Linked DNA regions of Mus musculus. The protein of the gene in region 1 interacts with the protein of each later gene in a pairwise test. Links are inferred from orthologs where the notes say so. Each region holds a gene or a part of one and is shown on either strand. Other genes may lie near its edges.

The links. The genes of interacting proteins can lie anywhere in the genome.
Region 2: the proteins of Map2k3 (region 1) and Arnt come close enough for resonance energy transfer, tested with the Homo sapiens proteins (2 studies listed by BioGRID). The link is inferred for Mus musculus from reciprocal best matches to the Homo sapiens genes MAP2K3 and ARNT.

What each region holds. Positions count from the first base shown.
Region 1 is NC_000077.6:60,945,542-60,949,059, forward strand, and holds part of Map2k3 (dual specificity mitogen-activated protein kinase kinase 3), read left to right. Parts: coding exon 1-21; intron 22-1,102; coding exon 1,103-1,230; intron 1,231-1,569; coding exon 1,570-1,647; intron 1,648-3,518. UniProt on the Homo sapiens protein: Dual specificity kinase. Is activated by cytokines and environmental stress in vivo. Catalyzes the concomitant phosphorylation of a threonine and a tyrosine residue in the MAP kinase p38.
Region 2 is NC_000069.6:95,489,880-95,493,397, reverse strand, and holds part of Arnt (aryl hydrocarbon receptor nuclear translocator), read right to left. Parts: intron 3,518-3,518; coding exon 3,442-3,517; intron 3,144-3,441; coding exon 3,020-3,143; intron 2,846-3,019; coding exon 2,743-2,845; intron 2,376-2,742; coding exon 2,228-2,375; intron 1-2,227. UniProt on the Homo sapiens protein: Required for activity of the AHR. Upon ligand binding, AHR translocates into the nucleus, where it heterodimerizes with ARNT and induces transcription by binding to xenobiotic response elements (XRE).

The DNA of each region.
Region 1 (3,518 bases):
AGCTGTCTGTGATCCACAGAGGTCAGTGTCCTCCATCAGCCACAGAGGCTCAGGGAGGGGCAGACTGTGATATACCTGCTGGGGAATAGGCCGCTTTCTGCATTTGTGCCTTTGGCTCTGCCTGCTGCACTCTGAATAGGAGGAACTAAGTGGATCCCAGCTTTTTCTGAGCTCCATGGCCCGCTTCTCTCTCTCTCTCTCTCTCTTCATAAAGATGTATTTATTTATTATATGTAAGTGCATCAGATCTCATTATGGATGGTTGTGAGCCACCATGTGGTTGCTGGAACTTGAACTCAGGACCTTCTGAAGAGCAGTCAGTGCTTTAACCACTGAGCCATCTCTCCAGCCCCATGGCCCGCTTCTCATTCATATTTACATTTCCTGTGCCGTGGAGCACCTAGGTTGTGGCATGTCACACTAGGACTCTGATACAAGCCCCCTTACCCCACACATGACTATCCTGGACTCTTCTGGGATTCCTTTGCCCCCATGGCCACTAGTCTGGGCTTCCCCCTCCAGGGTTATACTTAATTAAGTATCAGCCTCCCATTAACTTGGTTGCACTGTACCTAGAAAACGAAGGAGGCTAAGTGGACTTCGATGACCAGCACCCATCCCATTCTGTCCACGGGTCATCATTGTTGACTCTTTGGCATGGAACCTTCCCGTCTTTTCTGGGGCATCTTTGTCTTTTTCACATCCATGTGGCCCTTTGCTTGGAGGCTCCTGCCTCCTGTGAGACAGGGATGGGTGGGGCTCCTCATTTGCATGCACAGACCCATCCGCATACCTTCACTCCACCTCATTGTTCACCCACTACCTTCTGCTTGCTGGATTTGTGTCCATAGCAGGTGACGTGCTTAGGTAGCCTCAAGGTAGAGTCTCCAGAGCTCAGATGTTTCTCTTTGGTTGGGATAGGCTGAAGTTCATTTTGATTTGTCATCCAGCCGAGCGATGGGGCCTGGTGCTGCAGATCTCACTGCCGCTGTTTCCTTGGCTAATCCTTGGGGCATTGGGTAGCATGCTGCTGGCCCACAGGGCACTGGAGAAGGTAGCATCCCATTTGGCATGGACTGAGAAAGGTCTGCTCTTCTTGTAGATGTGAAGCCATCCAATGTCCTCATCAACAAGGAAGGGCATGTGAAGATGTGCGACTTTGGCATCAGTGGCTACCTGGTGGACTCTGTGGCAAAGACAATGGATGCTGGCTGCAAGCCTTACATGGCCGTGAGTCAGGGCATCCCCGCAAGGTGGAGACCAGGACAAGATTTTGCCTCTGTGCAGTGGGCTGGCTATTTCCAGCCGTACCTCCAGTCTTAGAGACCCTGCCACCATTTACCTATACTCCATGATCCCTGTTTGGATGAACTTGTGTTCTCTGTTGTTAGGAACATGGGGATCCTTAAGACTGGTGGCCTGGGGGGAAGGCAGGGGTTGGCTCTCGCTCTTGCTGGCCTATATCATGCAGGCAGGAGAACCTAATGGTATTCTGTTTTGGTGTAGAAGAGAAAAGGTCTAATTGAGGGAGCCTTGTTGGGTGTTCAAGCCTTCTGGTCTTTCTTGCAGCCTGAGAGGATCAACCCTGAACTGAATCAGAAGGGCTACAATGTCAAGTCTGATGTCTGGAGCCTCGGCATCACCATGGTACGTCTGGGGCTGGGCTCAGCACTTGCTGGCCTGTTGGGATGGATGTCTGTCTGTATAGGGTCTGTGGGTTCCATCAAACATTTCTATATGAGTACAAGGATATCTGGGAGTTGTAGGACCCTTTCCTGACCATCATGATTGTTCTCTGTATCCTGTGATTTCAGCCTTTTCTCTAGAGCCACTGGTGTAGATCAGGAAATCCCAGGCAATGCTAAGCTTAGTTGTTGCCGTGCAAGTAAATCAAGAAGGCAAACTCTTAGCTGGGCATGATGGCACCTTCCTGTGATATGATTCCTATGGTAGCATCCTTTTTAAATGGTTATCCTCAGCTTCATAATAAATTAGAGGGTAGCTTGGCCTTCATGAGACCTTGTCTCAATATCCTTCCCAACACTCAAAAACAAAACAAAAAAAACCAAAACAGTGCCTGGTCCCCCCCTAAATAGGAACCTATTGCTGTAGGTTCCTTTTGTGTTTCTCTAGGTTCAGTAGCATGAGGCTGTAGATCCTGGCTTGTGGAGGCTGAAAGGACCCTTGGTTTGGAGGGAGGAGCAGGGCCCAGACCATTAGGATTGAGTTGGATCAGACAAAGCTAAGTCCAGGTGTGGGGATGGACTTTTTTGCCTTCTAGAACTGCCTGGCCGAGAGCTCCGATGCACCTATTAATGTGATAAAACAATAACCAATGACCAAAAGGGACTTGGGGAGGAAAGGGTTTATTTTGGCTTACAGCTTTCCAGTTGCACCCCTTTACTAAGGGGAATCCGGGCAAGAACTGAAGCAGAAGCCACGAGGAGTGCTACTTCCTGGCTTGCTCAGCCTGCTTTGTTACATTACCCAAGATCACCAGCCCAAAGGTTGGGTTGAGTGTCTATGGTGAGCTGGGGTATCCTACATCAATTGAGAGAATGCACAGGCTTGCCCACAGGCCAGTCTGTGGGGGGGGGGGGGGAACGACACACGGGACACACCTGTTTTCAGTTGAGGCTCCCTTTTCCCAAATGACTTTAGCTTGTGTAGCGTTGACACAAAACTAGCCAGCAAAATGTTACAGTCAAGTTAAACTCTTTGAAGATGGGGACACTTCTGTACTGAACACATGTGAGAAAATGATATAGCAAGAATAGTCTATCTTCCGTTGCAAAGATATTTAACAGAAAGGGACATTCTGACCGTCAGGAGTCACAGTTACCAAGATATGCTGTCCACTTTCTTCGTTCCTCCTGCCTAAATGTTTTGAGACTGTCCAAGTTCCCATGATTGATCTCATGACTATTGGGGAAGACATTTTGTTATTTTTAAAGAGGCTTTATCTTGAAGGCAGGGTTTTACAGTAGGGTTTTCAGGCCCCAGGAACAGGAGCAAGGCTTGGACTGTCTTCTAGGACCTCTTCCTCCAGGTTCACCACTTATGTTTATCCTTGGCCCAACATTTCCACTTAAAATGCTGCAACGGTACGGTTCAGTGCATCCCTCTTGCCCTGGGAGCTCTGGGCACACAAATTTCCTGTGTCTCAGAATACAAGGGAGTTACCTTGCACAGACACAGGTCACACTCTGAACCAAGAAGGCCCTGAGTGGTGTCACCATCTCCACTGCTGTCTCTGACGCTCAGTCATTATAGGGGGCTGGCTCCCGGGGGGTCCTGTGATAGGTAAACTGTCTTATATGTCTTTGTGTTGAGTTAGTTTTTATTTATCTTTTTCTAAACTCTTTAAAAAAAATCATCAGGCTGAGCAGGGTAATGTATACCTTTAATACCAAGAGGCAGAGACAGAGGCAGGTAGATCTCTGAGTTCAAGGCCAGCCTGGTCTACAGAGTCAGTTCCAGGACAGCCAGAGCTACACAGAGAAACCCTGTCTGGAAAA
Region 2 (3,518 bases), on another chromosome or scaffold:
GGAGTAGAACACGTTATGATCAAAATACACTGTATACGGGTCAGTGTGGTGGCACATGCCTTTAATCCCAGCCAGCACTCGGGAAGGAGAGATGAAGGCAGATAGACCTCTTGTGAGTTCAAGGTCAGCCTGGTCTATTAAGTCAGGTTAAGGACAGCCAGGACTCTGTTATACAGAGAAACTCTATTTCAAAAAGACCAAAAAACCCAAAACAACACTATATAAATACATGAAAACATTATTAAAAACCCATTCCTGGGGCTGGTGAGATGGCTCAGTGGGTAAGAGCACCCGACTGCTCTTCCGAAAGGTCCAGAGTTCAAATCCCAGCAACCACATGGTGGCTCACAACCACCCGAAATGAGATCTGACGCCCTCGTCTGGTGTGTCTGAGGACAGCTACAGTGTACTTACATATAATAAGTAAATAAATCTTAAAAAAAAAAACTATTCCTATATATAATCAGCTCATAAATTATGGCAATTAATAGAAAGCATAACATCCATGTGTGTCCAAGTTCAACATACATGTACAGGCTATTGTGCACAAATTAATGGGAACCAGAGATCAACATGTCTTCACTTCATTTGTGTGTGTTCATGTGCATGTCTCTGTATAATGGTTGCATGTACACACAGATGTCAATAACACTGGGTGTTTTCCTTTATTATTTTCCACATTATTATTATTATTTCTTTTTTCTATTGTCTTTGGAGTCAGGATTTCTCTGAGGTCATGGAACTCACTCTGAAGACCAGGCTGAACTCAAACTCAGAAATCTACCTGAATTGGCCTCCCAAGTGGTGGTATTAAAGGTTTCCACCTTATTTTTAGTGTGCATGAGTATGTATGCACATGAGAACACATGCATGCTCTGGCACGCATGTTAGAGGACAACATGCAGGAATTGGTTCTCTCTTCCCCCCAAGGAGATTGGGGATTAAACTCAGGTCATCAGGTCAGGCTCAAGTGACAAAACACTTTCCCAATGGCGTCATCTCTCGGGTCCCAATGGTAGAGTGTTATAAAAGAGAAACCACTCACTCCACACTGCACCCGTTTCTAGATCCTTTTCCTAAAGGCACAACCATTTTCTTTTTTACTGGAATCCCTATGTGTTACAGAGGAATTTGGTGGCATCTTAGGGAGTTCACACCCACACTCAGTTCTGAGTGCTTCTCTTTTGCTCTTGACTTTAAGTGTAAATCTGCAAAGGGTTGTTTAATATAAATTCTAAATCTGCCTCAAAAAGAATAGAAAAAAATTGGAAAAAATAAACTAGAAATGAAACCTCACTGTTAACCCCACCAGAAGAGACTGTTACTTGGCACAGTGGACAATGTCCTCTTTTATTTTCCATTATGCTATTTTGGTTTTGTTCTGTTCTTTCTTTTATGAGACAGTTTATCTCTCACTATGTGGCCCAGGCCCATGCTCCTGCCTCAGTCTCTTTGTTGAAATTAAAGCTGTCCTTTCTCACACCCATTTACTGTATATTGATTAAGAAACTAGTTATTGCCTCTAACATTTTTTGTGAGATACAATAATTTCTAGAGACCGTTTTAAATCCACAATTTAAAAAGTAACTCCAAGGGAGATAATATATGCATGCTTGATTATGTCACCAGTATGAAAACCATGGTAGCAGCTGTCATCAACATCACGGCACATCCTGACCAAGAGTCATGGGCAACATTCCTGAGTATTTTTACACATACACAAAAAAGCTATAGAGAACAATTCTGGAGTCAAGTTTGAGTTTTCATTTTTTTTTAAACTTTTCTAAATTATTATATAGACAAGAGAAATACATAGTAATAAATAAATTTAACATATTTACTATATATTATATAGATGGATACTATATTTTCATAAATAAATGAATATAATTACTAATTTTCTACTTTGGTACTATATTACATAGTCCTAAACAAAGACAAACTCTTTGAATTTACTCCAAACAAGCCTGAGACCAAAGCTGTTCAAACTGCTGTGAATGAGCAGTTCTGTCTTAAGGTGAGCATATGAAAACATAGGTTCTAAAGAGACTTCTGGATGTTATCTCTGGTATTTTAATTATCTAGCTCCTCGCAAAAAAGATGAAAATTAAAAGATGAAGAACAGGAACTGAAAAGGAGGTATCTGACAATAATAAATTTACCTGGAGGAAAAAAAAAAGATCCCACAAACAACAACACACAGGGTCAGACAGGTAAGAGGCGCTACCTGGGCGGCAAAGCCTGGGCGGGAGCTAGAGGTCCAGGTCGGCGCTGATCCCTGGGCAGGGTTGGAGTGACGTGAAATCTGGGCCAGTATCTGCCCTGCAGAAGATGATGGCTGGACAATGGTTACAGGAGGGGTAAGACCACTATTCCTAGGAAGGAACAAATAGAAAGTGAAGGTTAAAAGGTTGACTCCATCACAGAAGCTATGAATCAAAGGACACATTCTATCCCTAGATTCCTCTGATTTCTTGGAGTTAAGGAAAACCTGATAAATTTAAAAACACAAGAAAGACTGACTGTCACACACTGACCACACAGAGACGTTTGGAACCTAGAGCAAGGCAATAGAATAGGTGCAAAAACAGGAGGAAAAGCAGCTTCGTTGTCTCACCCTAGGTCCAGTAAGTTCTACTGCTTTGTCTGAGGTGACCAGAGAAAGCAAGGGAAGATGACACACGGATCCAGCAACTGAACCCTGCAGAGCCCTGTCAAGCAGCACACACATATGGGGCTCACCTGAAATTCTCTGCCGGCCGGGGGTTAGGAGGGAATGAGCTGCCCTGGGAGAACAGCTGTTGGGTGGCAGGGACAGTGCTGGAGGAGATGCCTTTACTCTGATCTGCAGACCAAAAGGAGTTGGGGGAGGGCCATCAAGGGGCTGTAGCACATAGTTTAATCAATTCCTACTTATTCATGAAGTACTGTAACTGAAGTAGAAGTATGCTGACTGGGCAGTCCCATCAGTAATAATGAAACTCAGCCTGTAAAAGGAGCCTGCGGAAGAAACCCATACCTGCAGTGATGCTGGGATAGATTTCTGGAAACCTTGGATCTCTGTCCTGTGCAAAGAGACCTTCTGACTTCTCAAGGGGCTTGCTGTGTTCTGATCCTGCACTTGCCACAGGCTGGACAGAAACCTATGGAATAAAATAGTGAAAACAATCAATAATGTTCAATTTTATATAGAACATTCTCACTGGCACTGATAAATATTGTTTTTAAGATTCATTTTTGTTTTAAATTGTTGTGTCTGTGTCTGTGTATATGAACATAGTGTCTACAGGTGATTGTGAGCCACCCACTATGGTTACTAGGAATTGAATTTGGGCTTTCTCCAAGAGCAGTACTCTCTTAACCACTAAACCATTCTGGTAGCTTCAATATACATTTTAAAGAAATGTTCATTGTCTCCTTATAGGAAAAAGGTACACTCACCTGGGAATGATTATAGCTGGCCAGCCCATCTCTTCCTGGTACCATATCCAGTTCTGTGTGCTGCTGCTGCTGCTGCC